Linked DNA regions of Elephas maximus indicus. The protein of the gene in region 1 interacts with the protein of each later gene in a pairwise test. Links are inferred from orthologs where the notes say so. Each region holds a gene or a part of one and is shown in the gene's direction. Other genes may lie near its edges. The genes, in order: MPPED2, RXRG and CAGE1.

Evidence for each region.
Region 2: the proteins of MPPED2 (region 1) and RXRG interact in binary tests that used the Homo sapiens proteins (3 or more experiments, as listed by UniProt). The two-hybrid records come from large-scale screens. The link is inferred for Elephas maximus indicus from reciprocal best matches to the Homo sapiens genes MPPED2 and RXRG.
Region 3: the proteins of MPPED2 (region 1) and CAGE1 interact in binary tests that used the Homo sapiens proteins (3 or more experiments, as listed by UniProt). The two-hybrid records come from large-scale screens. The link is inferred for Elephas maximus indicus from reciprocal best matches to the Homo sapiens genes MPPED2 and CAGE1.

What each region holds. Positions count from the first base shown.
Region 1 is NC_064825.1:85,685,663-85,693,471, reverse strand, and holds the start of MPPED2 (metallophosphoesterase MPPED2), read left to right. Parts: upstream 1-4,801; 5' UTR 4,802-4,969; intron 4,970-5,016; exon of another isoform or gene 5,017-5,660; intron 5,661-5,745; exon of another isoform or gene 5,746-5,767; intron 5,768-5,781; exon of another isoform or gene 5,782-7,282; intron 7,283-7,304; exon of another isoform or gene 7,305-7,590; intron 7,591-7,809. UniProt on the Homo sapiens protein: Displays low metallophosphoesterase activity (in vitro). May play a role in the development of the nervous system.
Region 2 is NC_064821.1:205,835,550-205,842,763, reverse strand, and holds the start of RXRG (retinoic acid receptor RXR-gamma), read left to right. Parts: upstream 1-4,199; 5' UTR 4,200-4,200; coding exon 4,201-4,249; intron 4,250-7,214. UniProt on the Homo sapiens protein: Receptor for retinoic acid. Retinoic acid receptors bind as heterodimers to their target response elements in response to their ligands, all-trans or 9-cis retinoic acid, and regulate gene expression in various biological processes.
Region 3 is NC_064819.1:49,665,399-49,673,455, reverse strand, and holds the start of CAGE1 (cancer-associated gene 1 protein), read left to right. Parts: upstream 1-5,045; 5' UTR 5,046-5,491; intron 5,492-7,766; 5' UTR 7,767-7,857; coding exon 7,858-7,965; intron 7,966-8,057. Other genes in the region: RIOK1 (serine/threonine-protein kinase RIO1), read right to left, coding at 86-176, 1,836-2,007, 4,647-4,717.

The sequences.
Region 1 (7,809 bases):
ATATGTAATAAGAAAAAGTGCATATGTTTGCCAAAAATAGCTGTGGACCATTGAATGCTGATAAAATTTTAGGGTCTGCTTGTTCCAATGAAGTTATATTAATGACGTTTTCTAACAGCGTTGTGTTTATTTGATGCTGCAGTTCTTTGTGAGAAGATGCAATTCCAAAAGGGGAGTGTAGAATAGAAAGGAGTTGACTTGGAAATACAGGCAAGCTGGAATGTGAATGGAATGTGAGTAAGAAAGGAAGTCTGTTGTCCAGTATGGCTCTCAGCCTCTCTGGCTAGGTACAACCAAGCCTTCAGCCTACATTTCAAGATTCTGGTCTTCTTTATTTTTATTATGTAAAATTTATTCAAATCATTTGAATCCATTCATGTCTCTCCATGTTTTGACTTCTCCGAAGTGTACCATCAGGAAGGCTACCATCATCACCACCCTGGTGCAACAACTGTGCATTCACTCTAGTTCCCTAAAATCCATTCTTCACGCTGGGAAGGATTGACCTTTTCAAAACACAAATCTAATCATGTTACCCTTTCTACTTAAGATCCTTAAACAGCTTCCCTTTGCCCTCAGGATAAAGTGAAACATCTTGAACAGGGCCTTAGCTGTGACCTTCAAATGTCTTTAACGTGGCCCTACGGTCTGGCTTCTACCTACAGACCCAGACCCATGCCTCTCACACCAGGCATTTCCTCACCCTCAGCATTCCGGCCACACTGGCTTCCTTTATCTGATGACATCCTTGTCTTTGTTTCCTCCATTTTCTTTGCACTGGTTGCCCCTTGTTTTCACAGATTATAATGTTTCCTTTGTGCCAGTTGCCTCTTCTTTTCATAGATACAATTTTCATTTTTTTGTTTTATTTATCTGTGAGTCTCTCCCCATCCCTGTTAGATTATAACCTCCGAATGGTGAGAACGAAATACCTGCTTTTTGCATCATTAGACCATCGGCATGGTGTAAGGCACAGTGCCCGGCACAGAGCAGAGCTTAAAACATTTGTCGAATAATCGAATCTTTATACTAATACTGTGAGAAACGAGTTTTAGATTCTGGTGGCCTCTCAATTTCAATTTTTAAAAATTGTATTCATTCATTTATTTTTCCTTAGAAGGAAAATCACATTATATATCGTTTACTCGAAATATTGATATATCTTATGCTAGCTTGTCAAATTGAATTATTAAACTGGAAAACCCCCACATACATTTTCTTTAATCAGGTTATTATGGGTTTTTTACACTGCCCATTATTCAATTGCAATTACTTTGGCTTTTATTTCAGTGAGAATGCCTTTTCCCCCATGACAAGCCTATCCAAAAAAAAAAAAAAAAAAAAAATCCAAGGACCAGTAAATTTTACTATTTCTCCAAAATTAGGAGCACAAGGTGGGGGAAGACTCGGCAAGCATTAATTGATAACAGAGACTGCGCAAGTCTGTTAGGATGGGAATCAAAACTAAAAACACTAACTTATGCTAGCCATCTTGCTCAGACTTTTAAAATTAATTATTGTGAGAATAACAGTTGCCTGATTTAGTGATACATGCTAGACTTTGGCTACCAAGTATGGTAAAAATTAGTGAGTGTTCTACAAAATTTTAAGATTTCCATCCCCTCCTTGCTTATTATCTAAGCTGCCTGCAAAGCCGGATTAAATCTAACATTTCTAAGATAACGCCTTTAAAATTTATTTCATGAAATAAAATTCCATTAGTTCTAGTGCAAAGGTCCTGAATCATTCTTAGTCATGAACATTTTTTATTGGTTAGCAGGAGGAAATTGTAAATACAATGATCAAAAAATATTATTTATATATTTATATTGAGGGCTTACAAAAGGATCTATCAAAGAATCGGGTTAATCACTTTAGTTTCTTTTGAGTAGTTATCGTGACACATTATTCCTGTAAGTGTTAAGGTACAAATTTTACTCAGAATTCTTTCTTTTATTTTTGGTGGGCGGGGGGGGGGGGGCGGAATCCTACCGTATTTAAAAAGAAGACTTCTTTTAAATGTGCATGATAGACACCAATCCTGTTTCCCTAAGGGAAAATTAATTTCTGAAACTTAGTCTTATGTATTATTTTATATTTCTAAAGACATTAGCAAACCCTTTAAAACTTACTATTTTAGCGACATGGAAGTCCTTAGCTCTTCTCCTCCAACCCTGGCCTCATGACATCACTTCCTTCCTTGCATACCTGGTGTGAACTTCCCTTTACTATCTATTTGTCTCATTCACTCATGCATTCTCTCATTTATTAACCATCCCTACTATGTGCAAGGGATGTAAGGATGAGAGACACAAAGGAATGGAGGACATGGTTCTTGAACTTGAGGGGGTTACAGTGAAAACATTTTAAACAAGTCAAGAATGTAAAAACTGTAGGAATTCAGAATAAAGGAAAGGTGTTTGTTCAATCAGGCTTTTTCTAACTGCATTACAATACTAGTAGTTCTATTCAGAGGCTCTGATTTCTGATAATATACTTTTAACCTTTGCTGTAAAATGATAAAAGATGCAACTTAAAAAAAAAAGTGGTAAAAATAGTCACTGTTCCTAGAATTAGATTGGTATAATTTCAATGAAGTTTTCAACAAAATACAATAATTTCTATAAATTTTTTTAAAGAAGAAACACAGGACCGAGCTAAGTTTTACACTGCAAACGTGTCCTTGAAGCTTCTGGAAACCCTGCTCTCATAGGGAAGACGAAAGCCAACTCCAAATAAAGTATTGAGTTTGCAAGGGAAGTTAGCATTCACTTATTCAAGCTTCCACCCAAAGTTCTCCCACAATCCTTTCTCTGTTTCTTCCCTAAATGTACTTTTTTTTTTTTAGAAGGTACTACAGTGGGCTATCAGGAATCAAATTTCCCAGTTCCTTCCATGAAATTACTGGAGAAAGCGTTCAGTTTTACAGTCCGTTAAAGGAAAACAATTTGTAATATTTGCGTAGAGACTGTGATAAACTTGGTATTTGCTTTTTGTGCAATAAAAGTTGAATTTAACAATGACAGCGACAAAAAAATAATGGAACTCAGAGGCTCATTTACCTTAAAATAATATAAAACAAGCCTTAGCTATGGCATTTAAAATTTGGTATAATGAAGCTACGTTTCAAAGTTGATGTCAGGGGACAGACATGGTTAACATCCAATCATTTTAAAACAAGCTTTTAGGGTAAAACCCAACCAACCCAGTGCTGTATTTATGGAGGACGTGATTTAACAAAATGTAATCTGTTCAAACCCAAGTAATGAGAATTATTTGAAAAGTGAGCTTTTGTCCCTGCTTTATTATTTAAATTTACTTACATTTCTCCAGCTTCTTTGTTTTAGTAGCCTAATAGAAATAAAAATTCATAACCCAAATACAGGTCAGCCACTACTTCCCCCAGTGGATAATTGCTCCATCAGCAGGGACAGAGTGGGGGTTGATTTCTTCCTTCACCGCAAGTTACAATTTTAAGCCTCTTTGTCCCAATTTTCCCCCACTCAGTAAAATGGCTTGAAATTTTGTATCGAGTTTATAAAGGGTCACTCCTTTGATTTTTAAAGCGTTAAATATCCTGTAAAATGTGCCCCTCAAGTACAAAGTATTATTATTTGTTGTCTGCATGGACGTACTCGGACTCAGGATCATAATACAATCTAATTTAGCTGGTTCGATTGACTACCAGTTGGTTTAAAAAAAAAAAGGAAAAAAATAAACACGAAAATTATTTGATCATGATTTTTTGACTGACCAAATCAGCCCAGATCAGTCTAAAAATGAAAGCCATTTAGATAAGAGAAGTGTACTGCTAACTCATAAAGAGAAACAAAACCAAGCATTTTTTCAAAAACATGGTTCCAGTTAGGGCTTGTTGCTGGGCTGGAAAACAAAAGAAAACAAAATATAATGATGTCTCCCTCAATAATCTTTGGCATCCTTTAATGTTGCTTGCTGTGATTTGTGCTGGGCCAGGAAAGTCACTGGCCTCTCAGTCCCAGTATATTTGACAAGTACTGACACTTTGGGCTTGCTGTACAATAAAATAAATACATTAATAAAGCCATTTCCCCCTTCATTTCATCCCATGCATAAGAGACAGGTTACTTAAAATTCAAGTGCTAGGAAAGCCCATTATAAAAGGGAAATAATTTCAGGTGAATTCCGTTTGATCTTTTTTTTTTATAGGGGTTCCTACCAACCTCACTCCTGTCCTCCCCAGACCCTGGCAACCAATTAGTCTCAACACAGAGGCCACAGGCCAGGTTGAAATGTCTCCTTTTTTAGGGGGCTTCCCTCCAGAGAGTGCCTAGATCTTTGAGTTTGACTCCTGGAAAGGAATCAGATCTGGTTGCCGTCCAAACCCTTCAGCACTGACAATGGCATAACATCACAGGGCCACCTCATCTTCCACAGAAAGCCCTGCAGTCCAAGTTTTCTAAAAGCCTTCTCTTCCTTGTCGCCTAGCATTTCAGCAGTTCTTCCCTTCCGTGTTGTTTGCATGCAATTCTGAAAATCTTTTCTTCTATTTTGCAAAGTAGCAGGGAAAAGTGGACAAACTTTGATTTAAAAGATTTTTTTGAAATGCTTATCTTTTGGGGGAAAATCCGTCCAAAGGACAAAAAATGAAGACGGTTAGAGTGTCCCTCTCCTCACCTGGCAATCCCGAACCATGGAGGTGAAAAAAATTATCAGCTAGATTGGCCTTTTCTTTCTTAGGAACAACATTGCAGAGAGAAAGAGGGGTGGGTGTGTGTGTGTGTGTGTGTGTGTGCGCGCGTCTGACGCGCTGAAAGGCTTGGGGAAAGGAAGCGCAGCTCTCCCCCAGGAAAGCCTCAGGTCAGCAGATGGAAGGAGGCCTGGGGTCGCCGTCCGTGGTCGAAAGGCAGTGCCCGAGCCATTCCCCATTACCCCGGCGGCTAGCTCTGCGCTCTGGAGCAGTGCCAGGACTCCTGACAGCGCCCGGCAGGTCGGTGGGTGGGGGGCTTGGGCGTTCTCTTTGCAGAAGACGCCCATTTGGAGGGAAAACTCCCTTTATTTTCCTGGAGTTCCGTAGTCTCCCATCCCCATCATTTTTAGGCTGATCATACTCATGATGATGAACTTGCAGCTCAGCTTCCTGCCGCCTGCTTGACCCGGAGCACCAGCAGGCTGCTTGCCTCGCCCTCAGCTTCCTCCTCCAGTCTCAACTCCAGGGCCTCGGGGCGCCTGTAGGGGTTCAAGCGGGCCGGAGTTGCAGAAGGGGCTCGCGGGGGCGCGGGGTCCCGCTGGGGAGCGCGCACGGAGCGGCGCCTCGGCCGCCCTGCTTCCTGAAGCTGTGCTCCTTTGACCCCAGGGGCAGTCCCTGTCACTGCACCGCTCGCGCTCCCTCCAGCTCGCCGCGCCCTCGCTCCCTCTCCTCGCCCCCTCGCTCGCTCTCTCCCCAGATCGAGGCTGCTCCAGTCCTTTCTCCCCCGCCTCCCTCTAGCGCCGCTGCCCCCCGCCCCCCTGCCCCCGTCCGCGGCAGGACCTCGGGGGTCGAAGGTTCTGGCCCGCCCGCGCCCTTGCCGCCCCCGCGCGCCCTACGCGCGCCTCCCGCCTGCTCGGGTCGCTCGGCGATGGATCGCCTGCTCGCTGGGCGCTGAAGGCATCCCCGGGACCCGGAGCGCAGCCCGGGAAAGGTAATCCGCCCCGGGAAGGGAGGCGGGGGAGGGGGAGGAGGCGGCCCAGCGCCCGGTGCAGAGCGCGAGAGGAAGGGAAAAAAATGCACACACAAAGCGGAGCCCGGGTGAGAGGTGCCTTGTCAGAGGCGCGTGCGAGGGGCTCGGCGGCTACGGACCGCGGCTGCCCCATGCCCCTGACATTCGCCCTGGAGGGCGCCCCCCAGACAATTCGGCCGCGCGCCGGGACCCGGGGAGGGTTGATTTCCAACCCCCGAGCGAAAGAGAATTATTTTTTGGAAGCTGTCTTCCTTCCTACTCCCCATCTTGCCCCTCTTCTTTCTCCCCTCCCCCCAGACCTCGGCCCCCGACCTCTCGGGGTCCCACCTCACCGCCTCCTCTTCCGTCAGGATTTCCGAGGAGGGGAGGAGGGGGTGTCGGCGGGAGGCAGCAGCGAAAGCCGGGCGGCGGGGATGGCGGTGGGGACGAGGGCTCGACGAGCTGTTTACTACAAAGTCTCGGGGTGATGTGTTCAAGCCGCCCCGGCCTAGGCCCGGGTGCATTGTGTTGGCCCGAGCCCCGGGCGCCCGCGGCAGCCCGCTGCGAGGTGCGGTGGCCGGGAAGGCGCCGTGCAGCTTTGTGCTCCGGCTGCGCCCCGCGGCTGTCCCCGGGGCCGCCTGCGCGCGCGCCGCCGGGGCGCGGGGCTTTTTCTCACCGTGTCCCCCGCCCCAACCTCGCGCTCCGCCGCCGCCTCCGGTTTCCACGAACGCAGCCTGCGGAGAGAGCCGGCGACGCGGGTTGAGGCTCGGCTGGGCGGCGGAGACGAGGAGCGAGAAAAAGTAACCGTTGACGCCCGATTTCTTCTATACCGAGGCAGGAGTTTCTTTGCCATTTACATGTAACAGGGTTATCTTCTCAAAGCCTTTGAATTCTGGGGTTTTGCGGCCTAGGAGGTTGAAGGGGGACATTTTTCTGGAGATCAAGGAGGTGGGGGTTGAAATCCATCTGCAAGACAAGAAATTAAGATGCCCTAGTGGGGTCAATTTATAACTCACCCGCCCCCACTTTTCCCCAACACACACCCCATATTAAGTGCAAACAGGGTCATGAAAAATGTGTAATTGATTTGAGATGCAGAGAACCAATAAACACTAACAGGTCAGGGCGGAAAAAACAAACAAAACTTTAAGTGAAAGAAAAGATTTCCAAAGGGGGGGGTCAAAAATCCGTGGCCTCCACTCCCCCTTCCAAGGCTCGCTGGCTCCCTTTCTTCCTTTCTCCGCGGCCCGGGGAAAGGAGCCCGGCAGCTCCGGGGCAGAGAACAGGCAGGAGGCGGCAGCGGCTCTGTGCTCCGGTGCGGCTCTGGGGGCTCGGGGACGCCGGCTCTGGGGGCTCGGGGATGCCAACGCGCCCGGAGGCTGAAGTCTGGGCAGTGGCGTTGTGATGCCCCAGCAAGGATGGGGCGGTGTCAGAGCCATTGGCCGCCGGTGGTCATCAATCAATCCTGGGCTTGGGTAGAGGGAGAGAAAGAAAGACAGGCGCCCAGCGGAGCCCGGGGCAGCGAGCGCAAGAGCCAGCAGTGCCAGCAGCGGCTGCAGCGGAGGCGACGGCGGCAACGGGGGACTAAACAAGGGACTAAACGAGTAAGGCGAGCTGGTGCTCCAGGAAGGAAGGGGGAGCTATGGCCCGGGCGAGCCGACCGTGAGCCCAGAGGGCAGGGCGTGTGTGTGTGTGTGTGTGTGTGTAGTCACTGAAGCTCCCCTTATCCCCTTCAACTGCCCAGCCTAGATTTAAAACAAACAAACCAATCCAAAGTAGAGAATTCCGCGCCCCCCCGCCCCACCATATATAGACACCACACGTTGCCAGAGGCGCGGGAGAAAAGTCTTGCCCTTCCTCTTTGAAAGAATGTGCCAGCTGGGTGTCCGCAGTGCTGGAGACAAGTTCAGGTGTAAGTGCGGCGCTAGGCAGGGCGCTCTGTGGCAGAGACACGTGGAACTTTGTGTGAGCATCCTTGGAAAAGCCTGACGGAGAGAAGCCGGGAAGGCGTGTGGGCATCGCTCTGGAATGTAGGGATGAGTAACTGGAGGTGGGCAAGGAAAAAAAAAAAAAAAAAACTGAGCAGGGGGCGTGAGTTGGGGAAGCACTCCGTCTGTGCGGCAGAAGGAGA
Region 2 (7,214 bases), on another chromosome or scaffold:
TTACTTATTGTGGTTATTGGTCAAAATTTAAAAAAATTTAAGACCAGAGGTAAAGCCACTTAGTTTGATCACCAGGGTAAATATAAGCTATTGGCTGGGTCTGTCAAAACTACCCGTGAAAATTCATCCCCTTTTTATTTACTCAGGAGCACTAACGGCTTTAATAAAAGCAGAACGTGTCATTTAAGAGGAAAAGATAATCAGCCTTGACGAGAAGTGAGCCAAGAATCCTTATAAATGAATTAGCTGATTCCAACTATGGACATTGAGCATTTGGTTTTTTCATTTGACATCCAAGTGAGAATTCGGTAACAGGTGGAGACACTAGAGTGGCTGAAGCCAGCGCGATTGTCTGTGAAGGGCTTAGGTTAGAAATACCAGATGGTTTGGATAATGTTGTTATATCAATAATGGTCTTAGACAAGACACAGTGGTGCCAAGCAAAAAAAAAAAAAAAAAACTTGGATGGAAGAGAAAAGTCACATTCATTTCTCTTGAATTTTAGGCAAAGTTTTTGTTTTGTGACTGGGATGTTAAACCACACGGGACGGTATCACAGGGAAAGCAGCCTGAGGTGTCTTGTATATTATAAGCTTATCAATCATTTTTTAATGTAAAAATATTTATTAAGCACCTACTGTGTGTTCTAGCCTTTATGTGGGAAAATAAAGACATGTAATATACAAACACTACCTTTGAAGAGTTAGCAATCGTGTTATGAAGACAAGATATACTCAAAACTCAAAGGAAAGGTATATAACAGTTCAGTCCCACTGCACTGGGGATGCCTCAGGTCATATGTTGCAGGTGTCATCTGAACACACTGGGCAATGAGTTGTGTCAGACTGAGGCTAGGGTGAGATCTTTGTGGTCATGGTGGCAACTGAGCTGGGACTTGAGTGATAGGTAAGAATTTGACAGGTAGGAGAAGGTAAACAGGCGTGCACAATGAACCAGAGGTTGGAGTGAGCATTCCATGGTCTCACAGTGAATGAAACAGCCAGGCCAGAGGGGGCAATCAAAGGAAGCAAGAAAAGAAGAAAACATTAATTTCTTGTATTTGTATAGAATTTTAGTGTGCAAAAAACACATATCCAACTTGTATCACTTATGATTCACACACACATACACACACACACACACACACTCACACGAAGAGACATCTCAGTGGGGGAGGCAGCCTGGGTATTTTCCCCAGAGGTTAAACGAGCTTGCCCAAGGTCGCACAACTGGAGAGTAGCAGAGCTGTATGTAGCCTGGGTCTATGATTGCTGCCCCAGAGTGCTTTCCTCTACATGAGCTCAAAGGTGGGTGGAGACATGATGGTGAGGCCTTTTCATGCCAGGTTTAGTAATCTGCATTTTATTCTGTCTGGAGATAAAGAAGTAGACAATGTACCTAACTTAGCAAAAAGGGAAGAAAGGAGAATCTGCCACAAACCACCAACAAACATATCATCATTGACCTAGGACAAAATCCTAGAACGGGTTTTTTTAAAGGGTAGTCTTTGAATACTTGGAAGAACCCTTGCCAGCATGGGTTCACCAAGAAGCCAGTTGTGTTGAGATAACTCCTTTCGTTCTGTGATAGGTGTACCAGACTTAGAGAAAAATGTAGTTGGTACATCGGCAAGGCATTTGCTTCATATACCTCAGGGAGAAAATGGACAGTTATAGAATGGATGGTGAACTAGTTTGCATTAAATTTTGAAGTTAAAGAAGATGTTAGAACTCATCTAGCTCTGCTCTATCATTTTGCAAATGAGAAAAAGGAAATAAGAAGTAGTGACTTGCTTAAGTTTACGTCATCATCGAAATAACTTACACATATCAAACATTTACTGTATATTTGGCATATTTCTAAGTGATTAACATGTGTTGACACATTTAATCCTCACAATAATCCTGTAAGTTCACTGAGGCCCAGGGAGATGCAGTAACTTGCCAATATCACAAGGCTCTAAGCAATATGGGACTGGAATTTGCACCCAGTGGGGCTGACTCCTGTGTGGGTGCTTTCCCTACAGATGTAGCCCCTCCAGGCCAGGTAACTAGTCAGTGGCAGAGCAAAGTGCCAAAGGTGCTAATGAATAGAGTTTCTAGCGTGCATGCTATAAGATATCTTGCTATGCCCTTTTCAACATTTTTATCAGTGACTTGGATAAGCTATGGACTACAGTTCATCAGATTTGCAGAAGTCATGAAATGGGGGGAAGCAAAAGAAATACACTGGATGACACAAGTAAGATCCCCAAAGATCTGGGATGATGAATGAATTAAAGTTTTCATTTCAGAGGAATATAAGAAGACATTGCATATCAGCCCCCAGAGCATTTGGCCAAGAATGGGCTGAGGAATATGTATAATAAGGAACACAAATGGAGGGGGGTTTGTCAAGTTAGTTCCACATGAATTAACATGTGGGACTGCCCCAAAACTAATACCAGTGAGTGGTCCTCTCTACCTTGACACTCTGAGAACTCAGCAACCAGCCAAGGGAGCCTGGGTGCTCCAAGGTCCTTCACAGCAATGGCCTGGGCCTTTCTTCCTACTCCTGGCCTGCTCTTGCTCTGGCCCCCACATTGGTCCCCTCCTCCTCTTCCAGCCTGACCTTGCTTCTGCTTCTTAGTTTTTGCCTGGGGTTTCCTAGTATTGAATCTTGACTTTTTCCTATGGGGCCCCAATTTGACTTGTCTCTCGGGTTCTCTGTGTACCATACGGCATCAGAAGAAAACCTCTCAGTCTGCTTCAGCCCCACAGAGCTGAGTCCCTGACATTGACCCTTGGAGAGTGTGCTAAGAGCACCCTCATGGCCCTGCTGACACATATACCGTGAGGAGAAGACTTGTACCGTGTCTGGAGTATTACATCCAGGCCTGCCATCCCCCCACCCCACCATGAAGGTATTTAGTAAATTGAAGTACATTCATAGGAAAAGGATAGGTTGTGAATAGACTTGGATCTTCTGTGATACATGGAATGATTGAAGCTGCAATGACCCGGGAGATCGCACTATGAAAGACTCCATGGGCTTCTCAGTTTAGACCAGTGGGCAGAAACTTTAGGGAAAAAGGGCAGATTTCAGCTCAATAAAAAAATAGGTGCATGGTAACAGCTGTTTGGAGATGGAATGGGGTAGTAGTGGGGTCCCCCTACTAGAAGTGTTCAAGCATATGCTGAGTAGTGGCTTCACAGACATAAACATCAAGGGGCGCTTAGGCTATTTCATCTGTGGGTTGGTTCCATCCAAGAGTCTCCGGGTCAGTGACAAGCCAGCGGTGCCTTTTAAAGAGGTGGCACAATGACAATGGTGTATAAGGCAGATGTGTCCCTCCAGGGAAACATCACAGAATGACCACCACATGGAGCCAACACCTCCTCCCTACCTTTAAGTGTCCCATATGGGTGAGTTCGGGCTCCCACCACACTTGTTTGGGCTTCATTGTTAGGACACAGACAAACTCTTCCAGCCACTAAGGCAGGCAGGAGAGGCCCATCCCAAATGTGAGGGCCATTCTATTTTGGTTTTCGGTAGCTGAGGATTGGTCTCACACTTCTGTAATCTCCTGCTTATGAAAGGGCTTTGTTCTCTCTTGGTCCCCACCCCCACCCCCTTTCAACAGATCAAATACCAAGTGCATTGGACAGATAGACGCCCGAGTGAGAAAATGCATTTTAATAAACCCCCATTGATTTTTGTGGGTGCGAGTCAAGGAAAAGTCACCTAAAGACTCTTCCATCCCCTGCTACCTCCCCCCGCCCCTCCTGACCCACTCCGGGGCGGTCATACATCGATTGGCTTCCTAGATAATAGATTGTGCCACTGGTAGGGACCTCCGGGGACCAGCCAGGAGCTGGAAGAGTTGCACGCATCCAGCCCAGCCCTGAGTTAATCTAACTAGCAACAGGATCTCCAGCGGCGGCGGTGGCGGTGGCGGCAGCAGCATTATGCGTGATTACTGACAGGCACCAGCTGCTGCTGCCACAGCCGTCTCGAACGCACTATGTGGACTCTCAGATCTAGAGGCAGATTCCTGACTAATCCCAGAGGGCTGGCCCAGCCTCTGTTCCTGGGGCTGCTAGGAAGCGATGACCACTCTTGTTAGCCCAAGTTGAAGAGAGTCCAGCTTTGCCTGGGAGCGGGGAGAAGCTGTGATATTTAGAAGACAGACAAGAGAGAAATATGAACTGAAGAGTAAACATGTATGGAAATTATTCTCACTTCATGAAGTTTCCCACCGGCTTTGGTGGTAAGTATCTCACTCGGACTTCACTGTGTGGACCGGTCTGGAAAGACGGAGAGGAAATTGGGTAACTGGATTAGTGTTGAATTAAAAGGGGAGAATATACGTTTATTTGCATATATAGTGCTTCTCTGTGTGAGAGTCTGTGTCTATGCACAGAGAGAGAGAGAGGGAGAGAGGGCTGGGGCAGGAAAGTGGGTTCTGTAGGTGAGGTTGTGCTTTTCTGCAAAGGCGAGTGAACAGAAAAAGGAATATCTAAGGACAGTGCCTTAGCCAACATACTGAGAATGTCTGAGACAAAGATAGACTAAGAACATTGTTATAACCCAGTGTGTTGGTGTGGGCATGAAAAGTGGAGGAGTTAAAGAGAAATTACCATGCTTTGCCTATTATTCAACTTGTAATGGAAAAAAATGTGATCAGAAAGGTTTTATCTATATGAAGGGTCTCTGGGATACTTCGTAACAAGAGTTTTTTTTTTAATTTAAAAGCAGCTTTCCATATAATTGGATTTGTAAAAAGAAAACATAGCACTTTAATTTGCCAGGAGGGTTTTCTTTCCTCTGTTTTCTTCCTTTTGATTTGCTAATAGCCTCTTTTCCCCAACTCTGCTGTTGACCCCAATTCCAAAGCAAGGGCTCCTGCTATCATTTCCATTCTGGGGTTGGGATCTGGATGGACAGGAGTCTGGGGTCTTATAACAGAGAGCTGATAAACGGATGATGCAAGTCGTCAAGCCAGGCAAGGCAGTCCAGTCATCCTTCAGAGAGGCTTCCGGTTCCAGAGACTGGGTCCTCAGACTGCCTTCACGCCCAGGCAGATCAGCCAGAAGGATCCCTCCATTCAGTGATAGGAACAGTGCAAGCAGGCATCCAGCTTTGAGTAAATGGACAAACAGCTGACCAACTGGCCTCTCACTTGTCAGTTGGTGGCATGTAGCTTGTATTCTTGGAGCCAAAGGGCAGCTTTTGCCCTGTGGATGTTGGCAGACAGGACAAGACAGAAATTCCCGTAAGGTCTTGAGAACTGCAAAGTCTCTGCTCCTCTGACCTTCTCAGCGGACAGATAGCCAATTCATCTGAAGGCTTGGGTGTGAAGGCTGCCTGCTTTGCTGGGCAGAACACTTGGTGGGGCACGGCAGAATATTGCAAGGTGGACGAGGCCCCCTGCCTGGAGGTGTCTGGCCAGGTGGTTTGGTCATTCATTGGGTAGTTTTTGTGAGCCAAGTGTAGTGCTAAGTGCTAGAAATACAATATGAATGAGACACAGTCCCTGCTCTTGGCCAGGGGAGGTTGGTTAAATACATTTTAATACTGTAAGGTGCATGCTATATATATAAAACATATATAGAGAGAGAGAGTCGCTATGAGTCGGAGTCGGAATTGACTCAATGGTACTGGGTTTTTGTAGTGCATGCTACCTGGAAGGTGTGAGGAGGGAGCTACCTGGACACAGGGGAGGGGCCCCACGGGAAGGTTCCTGAAGAGGTAATGTTTAAGTTATTTGGCCCAGTCTGGTGATGTGGCCGAGGGAGAGTGGTGGCCAGTAGTGTGACCTGGACATTGGTTCATAATTGGGACCTGGGTGTGAAAATCCTTCTCAGCTCCCATCTCTGCCCCATTCATAGATTTGAGAATCACTTTTCCTTCCGAGTTCAGTTGACTGAAGAACGTGCTTATCCTTGGCCAGATTCTCGGGACCCCTGAGCTCTTGAAGGATATGGCTTTGTTAATGCCAAGGAGGCCCTTTGAGACAAGGTTGACGGTGGAAGATGTACGAAGAGAGCTAAGATATAGACTAGAGAAAGAGGCTTAAAATTCTACCGGGACTGCTGCTGAAATTTCGGAATGTTAGCACCCTAAGGGGCCTGAAGGAGCTTCTTAGAACTCTTGTTTTATATATGTGTAAAACTGAAGCCTAATGGAAGGCAGGGACTAGTCCAAAGATACGTGACCTTGAGTGGTCGAGCCTTCCTGGAGAAGCCCCTGACTCAGATCTGTGATAGTATTGCTGTAATCTGATATGGTGAGCATAAGAGAGAGAGGGGGAAACAGAGAAGACAGACAGAGATGGAACAAGTGAGCTGAGTTTGGCTGAGTTGAGCCAACTGCATGACCTTAGGCAAGATACTGAACCTCTGTGGGCCAAGCCTCAGTTTTTAATCTCTAAAATGGGGTGTATAATCTCATTTTTAGATAATAATTGAGAATTAAATGACTAGCCTGTGAAAAAGCAGCTACTCTGGTATGGTCTATCTACTGTACTTAGTATTTCATAAAAGTTAATACTTTCATCCTTCCATTTTGCTCAGATACTAACACGCAAACTAATTAAAAATCAGACATTATTGTTGAAAAATGAACTAGGAATCTGGGAAAATAAAATTAAACCCGTTCTCTCTGGCTTAAATTCCCATAATTGTAGGAGCCGTGTATTTAGTGTAATTAGGTTTCAGATAGAAGGAAACATAACTGTGCAGCCAGGGAAGAACAAAGTCCATGTAACATTGGGGACAGAGGGGAAAGGGCCATCTAGGTTGTTTAGATGTCTCTCTGGAATGTTACTTTTCCTTGTCGTTCCTGAGGGAAGAAAACGATTATTTTTGTTTCGTTCTGTTGATGTTTTCCATTTTGTTTGTAAGTGCCAGTTAAGAGAAGGCTGAAACACAGCCAGAAGACTCCTCCTCCATCTGCAGGGAACCCTGTCTGTCCAGGACCAGAGACTTGCAGTGATGAGGGAGGGTGGGAGTAGGGGGGCCCACCTGCAGGCACGGTGAAATCTGAGGATTGGTGTACAGGTCACCTGCAGCTTTGACTTGCCTTTGCCCCAGCGCAGCGAATTATGCTGCCCTTATTAAATGATTTGGTGTAGAACCCCTACCCATAATTATCTTAGCAAATGGAACCACCGAGGACCCCTGTGATTTGCGTGACGATCTCCAGAGGAACCAGCGTCACCCTTTGGAAATAAT
Region 3 (8,057 bases), on another chromosome or scaffold:
GTCAGCAACATTTAAATATGTTCATTTCTTAACATAATGACATTTTTTTCATAGCCCTGTAAGGTAACATATTTTATAAACTCACCCAGATTAATTTTATTCTCAAATTTTCGTAAGACCTTGTCTGCTGGAGTAGACATTTTGGCAGAACTGTAGTTAGAAGTCTGTCGATTTGCCTAAAAGAAATCGTTACAGAGTCTAAGCAACAGCTGTAAATAAAAACCACATTTAGCTATTAAAGCATCAATACTTTGGAGTACCCTAGGAAAGGTAAGAGTCAGTCTAAGTTGCTTAAGGTTTTTTTAAAAAGGCATTTGAAATAGTTTGAAGTTACTGGCTAGAACAAAGAGTGTGCATAATCTGGGGTTTTTTCCTTATCCACAGTGTGCTCCTCATTATTATAAATAACAAGTTAAAATTAAATGCATTTTTCTGATTCGACTCGTTTATAGATTTAAAACAAAGAACACTCATTTACACCCCCCTCACCCACACTTCCCCCACCCCCCAGTATATAATAGAGTTAAGACCAACATTAAACTGGCTCTAAGAATTTTACTGTGGACTAGCATGGGAAAAGGAAAGAGGAAGAGCAAGGCTTCAGCACTTACACTGGTGCTATACATGAACCAAAATAACAGCAGAAACAGAAGAAAGTGGAGACAACATCAGAACCCCTAAGTAAAAACGGCCTAAAACAACTATTGATTCAATCCTGTTATCTCAGCATGGAACTCTTGAGGCTGATTGAGTTTTCTTTTTCGTACAGAACTTAAAAAAAAAAAAATCTGTATTAAATTTAACTATTAACATAATTCTAAAATTAAAATATGTTCATGGTAGAAAACACAAGCAAAAAAAATTTTTTTTAATGTCTATAATTGTAGCGCACAAATAGTTAACAAACATATATACTTCTAGTCATTTTTCTAGCTTTTTTTTTTTAAAGGGATTATACTCTATTATGAAATTACTCAGTCTCATCAGAAATCAACAGAGGGATTACCAAAACAAGACCACAAGTTGGAACTTTATTTTTAAAATTCATGCATTCTAGTCCCTGATAAAGCTGTTTTAAGATCAAGGAAATATTGGTGTTTTTCCCTCCATATCTTTGAGTAACCTTTATGCTCCAGGAAGATGCACCCTAACAACCCTCTGGCTCTGAAACCCCTGACACACTTAGTCCTTCTGGCTTGAGAAGCAGGCTCTAGATGGTTTGGTTACGAGGCTTCTGTGCATGGTAGATGATGACAGATCATGAACATATGTCCATGTCATTAAGTCTTCAATGGCAACGTGTCTTAGAACTGTAATATCCCACTGCATGAATGATCAGTCTCAGAGTAAATTTAACCCGTTTGCCCCATAGAAGAACTGCTGAGTCAAAGGGTTTATAACCTTTTATCACACTGTACTTATTTACTTGATCATCAATTGACATATTTTGTGTCACTGTCAGTTTCACAGATAGGAAAACAAAGGTTTCTCTACACATTCAATCTGCAGTTCTTTAATAACTAATGAGGTTCAAATTTTTTCATGTTTCTCAACCACTTTTAGTAAACTGCCTATCTGTGTCTTTTCCTACACATTTTTAAACTCTTCATTTTATTATACATTAAATAACTTTTTAAATTAATTATGTAAAGAATCCACAATCAGGAAACTATCAGAAATACAGAAAGGACAAAAAATAAAAAGGACAATACAATCTGTGGAAAATCAGCTACTCACTTGAGAGCCACATCAATGAATGAGAAGACCTCGAAGAAAATCTTTTTAAAAAAAGACATAAGACAAGCTAAAGATGTGTAGGACCGTTTATAAAATACCTGTGGGTTATTCCCTCTATTGGACGCATAACACTTTGTGAGTTTCCCAACTCTATCGTTCCAGTCCCAGTCATCATCGTCGTCATAATCCTCCTCCTCCTCCTCCTCTTCTATCTCATCTTCACCCTTATTTTGAAGGTCTTCAAGTGGAACACCATCTTCCTCTTTTTCACTAGAAATAACAATGTTTTGGCATGTTTACACATGCTATAACTGAACTCACATACACAATTATTTATGATACAATACTGATATTTACAAGGTCTCCTTACAACATTGTCTCCCAATAAGCCCCACCTCCTTTATACCAAACTCTCCTGTTTTTTTATAGTTCTGTTACAGTTGTCTGCTTATTCTCCACACCCAAGTCCTACTAGGGAAGGAGTACATCAAGTGTTAAATCCACTTCTGCTTCAGTGAAGTTAGAATTTATATTTTTATTTTCTCTGATAAGTATATTGACTGATTTTGTACACTAGAACTCAACTCTAGGAAAATCATTCACAGAGCTGTTTTAAGGTGGGGCGGGGGAGGGTCTTTCTGATAAAATTTAGGAATAAATTGCCAATAACCTAGAATGACATATTAAACTGATAGCTTCATTTGTACCAGAGCTTCTCAACCTTGGCCAGATAATTCTTTGTGGCAGGTTATCTTGTGCATTTTAGGGTGTTTAGCAGCATCCCTGGCCTCTCCCTGCCAGACACCAGTAGCCAGTTGTGACAACCAAAAATACCTCCAGATTGCTAAAAGTCCCCTCAGGGCAAATCATCCTGGTAGAGGGCCACGGGTTTACCCTCACGACATTCAGTATGAATGGTAAACCAGTGAACTCTGATTACCATCAACTACTCACCAGCCACACTGGCTGTGCTGCTTCTGCCCATTTCCCTTCTTCCCTAAGGACTTCTGTCCATGACTGTAAACTAAATCTGGAATGCCCCTTCCATTTTCCTGGCTAAACCGTACTCAATCTTCCAGTGTTGGCTTACTTGCTCTGGGAAGTCTTCCCTAGTCTTCACCCATTTCTCCTTTGTAGTACTCACACGATTCTAGCAAACTAATTTGTCTAATTTTAATATGCTTCCCTGCTGCATTAAGTTCTGTGTTGACCAGGATAGTCTTGTTTACCAATTTATCCCTGTGCGCCACTGTGAACCTAAAAATTGGCAGTTCAAACTCACTCGGCAGTACTACGGAAGAAAAGGCCTGGTGATCTGCTTCCATTAACATTACAGACAAGAAAACCCTATGAAGCAGTTTTACTCTGTAACACATGGGGTCACCATGAGTCAGAATCAACTCAATGGCAACTAACAACACTAGATATGACAACACTTAGATAAGATACATAAAAAGCATTTGACATATATTTACTGAAAAAAGGTTCCCAGTGGATTAATAAAATCTACACATAACGAATTTTTATGAATAAATGAAGCAAAAATCATTTTTTTAATTCCAAAATAACTCCATAAAATGTTTCATTTTGTTTTTAAGTACCTCATATTCAATCTACTGCCAAACCCTGTCACCTCTACCTCCAAAACATATCCCTGTGGCCCTAGCTAACATCATCTTTGAACCAGATTACTTTATCATCTTTGAATTGGTCTCTTTTCAGTCACTATATAAGTTAACAAAAAAGAATGTTAGGTTGTTGGGTGCCATTGATTCCAACTGATAGCAACCCCATGAGAAAGAGCAGAACTGCCCCACAGTGTTTGTTTTAACTTTATTTTGTTGTTGTTGTTCCTAATGAGAATATACTCAGCAAGATACACCAATCTGTTTCTACAGGTACAATTCAATGACATCCATTACATTCTTTGAGTTGTGCAATCATTTTCACCCTCCTTTTCTGAGCTGTTCCTCCCACATTAACACAAACTTACTGCCCTCTAAGGGTCCTATCTAATCTTTCAAGTTACTGTTGTCAATTTGATCCCATACAGATAGTCCTTAAAGAGTATAATTTGGTTTTAAGACTTCAGGGGATAATTTTTTGGATTAAAGGTTATCTCAGGGTAAGTTTCAGAGGAATAGGGTTTTCCATGGCTGATTTTTCCAACGTAGATCACCAGGCCTTTCTTCTGAGGTGCCTCTAGGTGGACTCAAACCTCCAACCTTTCAGCCAGCAGCCAAGTGCATTAACCTTTGCACCACGCAGGGACTCCTCACCACTCTGGCTTCTTGATAATCATTTAACAATAAGGGGGATCTCATAGCTGGGCCTTTGCACTTGCTGTCTCTTCTGCCTGAAATGCTGTGCACCCTGCTCTTCTCATGGCTAACTCCTTTTTGTCACTGAGATTCGTACTTACTCCTCCTTTGACCATTCAGCCATAATTTACTGTAACAGCCTATGTGAATTATCCACACAGGGTACACCATAATCTGCTTTTGTAAAATCTCTATGTACTCGCCTCTCCCCACATTTCATCCCCTGCCCCCAAGTAGGAGGTAAAGTACCACGACGGTGAGGACTTGATTTTCTTGTTCGTCACTATCCTCAGCGTCCAGGACAGGCCCTGGTACAAAGCAGGTGTTCAATCAGTATCTTTTGGACGCTGAATGTAGTTAGAGCACAAAAGCCGGTTTGCCATCCTCTATCCTCAACTCTGCCTCTCAGCGACGCTTACCAGCCTGGGAACCCTAGACCCACTTAGCAAGTGGCTTTCATTAAACCCGCCATAAACAGGGACGGAATACCTGGCCTTGAGTCTCCCCCTAACACACAGAAAAAAAGTCAACTCCCGTCAAGGGGCGAAAGAGGAGAGAGCAAAATCTGAACAAAGCCAATGTGTCCACCTGTCAGAGGACTCCGCATCGTCGAACTGCCCCGGGACCACCCGGCTCATCAACAGCCGCCGGTAGTCCATGACGGAAACGCGGCGAGCGCCCAGCAACACCGGAAGCCGCTCGGCCTAGGCTAGAAGAGGAACCGCATCACCGGCTGCCGAGTCAACGACCTCTCCGCGGATTATCGCCTCTCACGCCTTCCAGAAGTCCCTACGCCAAAGCCGCACGCCACGTGCTGTGAGCAACCGGGACCCACCGCCCGAGTACCCCGAACCTCCCCAACCGGAAGCCCCGCCCACATAGGAAGGACGGACTCCAGGAAGCCAGCCCGACCGGAAGTCTCGCCCGTGGGCCGGGCTGATTATCAGCAGTTGCCTCCCGACGGAGCGGTTGTGGGAGAACGCTGGAAGTCAGGTGAACGTACTGAGAAGCTGGTCCAAGCTAATCCCGTGCAGGCACCTCGTTTCTGCACCCCACTTTGTGTTTCTTCCTGCAGAAAGATGTGAGCAACGGGTTGTTGGGTCTGGGGGTCGTACTCACCTAACTCAGAACTCTGCGGGAGGCGTCGCTCGCGGGGACAGGACCGAAGGCGTCGGAGCCTGACAAAAGCCTCTCCCTGACGACATTAGTCGGGCTCGGGCGGACGTCACAGCAGGCTTGTTCCAACACGCCTGGATCCCAACTGCAAGTTTTTAAAAGCCATCAGTGGAAAAGGTTGAGACGTGTCCTCCCTCCTACAACACGCAGTGTGGAGGGAGGAAGCTCAAAATCCCTATTGTAGATCCAGGAGGCTATATGGAACCTGGAAGTGAGAACACCTTTGTGACTTAAAACGTTTAGTGCGTTGTTTTGAGGTGAGAATGTCATAAGTGATTTAGAAGTTAATGCAGTCCTATGATTGCAAAAAATTTAGAAAATCCGAAATTTTTGCCAGTAACTCTATGACACTTCTTTTAAAGCCTGTCTTAAAACAGCGTTAGAATGTCTGGAATATCTGCCCATACATTTGGATAAATGTTTTTACATCGAACAAGAAAGCTGGTAAGGACAGAAATCAGAAATGGAAAAAGTAGTTTAATTAAAAAAAAAAAAAAACAGATTGTGCAGTGCCATGTGAGAAGTAAACAAATTTGTAAAAGTGTAATTAGAAGTTCTGAGTTCACAAACAAAAAATTTTGAGAAATAAGATCCTTTCCTCTTTTGCATTTGGAAAATAAAACAGGGGTTTTTCAGGCTCCTTCCCCACAACCCTGGTGGTATAGTGGTTAAGAGCTACAGCTGCTAACGGGAAAGGAGAGCAGTTCAGATCCACCAGGCACCCCTTAGAAACTCTGTGGGACAGTTCTACTCTGTTCTATAGGGTGACTGTGAGTCGGCATCAACTTAATGGCAATGGTTTTGGGTTTTTCATTTTCCCACAACCCAGTAGCTTTTATGTGTCCAGAAGATAGGCATAAAGTTGGACCTTTCATCAGTCCTGACTAGATTGCTTGGCTTGTTGTCTTTTACATTTTACCAAATGATGCCGTAGATTTGAAAACAGCCTTCAACAAATTGAGTAATCCAGGCAAATGAGTAGTGACTACAGATGAAGAGGACTTAATAGAAATAAATCGGAGTGGAGGATTTATTGAATCTGTATTTACTGTGTGGGCAACAGTGGTTGGTTTGCTGTAGGTAGTATTGAAAAATCATAAATAGACTCAAGGTGCTTATAATTTGTAAATACCAGCATTCAAAAAGGTGGTGAGGATGAAAAAAGTGAACAGATAGGTGCTGAATTGTGAGATACGTATTGAAGACATGAAGGAATTGAAAGAAATAGATGAATGAGAACTTGGGTAGTTGGGAACGATTTGGGAGGAGAGAGACACATGCCAGGGCAGATTACTGACATGATAAGAAGCATGATGTAGTACAGGGAAATGAGCCTGAACTAACTAAAAAAGGAGAGTGAGTACTGGGTAGGTAACGTGGGCCCAGGTTATGAAAGGCCTAGAAAGCCAAGCAGAAGAATTGGACTCGGTGTGACTGGGCATCCTTCTGGCAGACCTGAGGAGGTCACAAGGAAATTTTAAAAGGAGAATTTGACAGGACTCCGTATCTGAACACCCATCGTTGTTATAAGGTGCCATTGAGTCAGTTCCAAGTCATAGCGACCCTATGCACAACAGAACGAAACAGTGCCTGGTCCTGCACCATCCTTAAAATCGTTATGCTTGAGCCCATTGTTGCAGCCACTGTGTCGGTCTTCCTCTTTTCTGCTGACCCTGTACTTTGTCAAGCATGATGTCCTTCTCCAGGGACTGATCCCTCCTGACAACATGTCCAAAGTATGTAAGATGCAGTCTCACCATCCTTGCTTCTAAGGAGCATTCTGGTTGTCCTTCTTCCAAGACAGATTTGTTCGTTCTGAATAGCTGGGGATGATACTATTCAGTTACCAAGTCCTGTCAATTTGATAGATGTAGAGGGATGTCAGTGACAGCCATCTCCAAACTTTCAAGCCCAGGTGCCTGAGAGAATAGGAAAGGAGGAGGGAAAACTGATTTGCAGTGTTAGATTTGACTTGATAATGAGATAGAAAGTATCAAATAAATAAAAACAGTGTTTAGTGGATCCTAATGAAGCCCTGGTAGCACAAGGGTTAAGCATTCACTTAGCGGTTTGAACCTGCTCAACAGCTCTGTGGGAGAAAGACCTGGTGATCCGCTCCTATAAAGATTACAGCCTAGAAGACTCAACAGGGCAGTTGTGTTCTATCACATGGGGTCACTATGAATTGAAAATTGGCTCGACGGCACCTAACAACAACAATAGATCTCTGATAATATTCTGTAAGTAGTTTTTGTTTAAATAACTGAGGAATCCCTTCACCTTCTGGGTTCCAAGCTTTTTAGGGAGTTAACTTGTTTTTGTCCAAAGCAGTATTTACTAGTGCAGTTACCATGATATACTCAGACTAAAATTTTTAATTTCTCCATTAACTTGACAAATGACATTTTAAAATTTGGGGCTGTAAACTTTGCTGCTTTCTTAACATGAAGAAGGTTGGGAAAAATATCTTTTTGTTTGCATATCCTAATAGGCATTAAAACTCCTTTTTAAAGAGGCCTTTCCATCATTCAGCATTTAGGAACAAGGACTGTCAAGAATTTTGGTTATCACCTTCAGATCCTGTACATTTTGAAGTGGATACTTCTCAAGAAAATTAGAAAGTATGATGGAAGCAGAAGCCATGAATGTCAGCAGTCTTTCTCAAGACTTTCCTTATTCAGATTCTCCCTTTTGCTTGGAAACCAGCAGTACTGCTTCAGACCTGCCTCAGGTGTGCTTTGTTCGTAGATTCTGGGAGCTGCAGATGCATTCAGCATTCATGTTATCTTCCATATGAAAATTTTTTCAACAATATAAGGAACA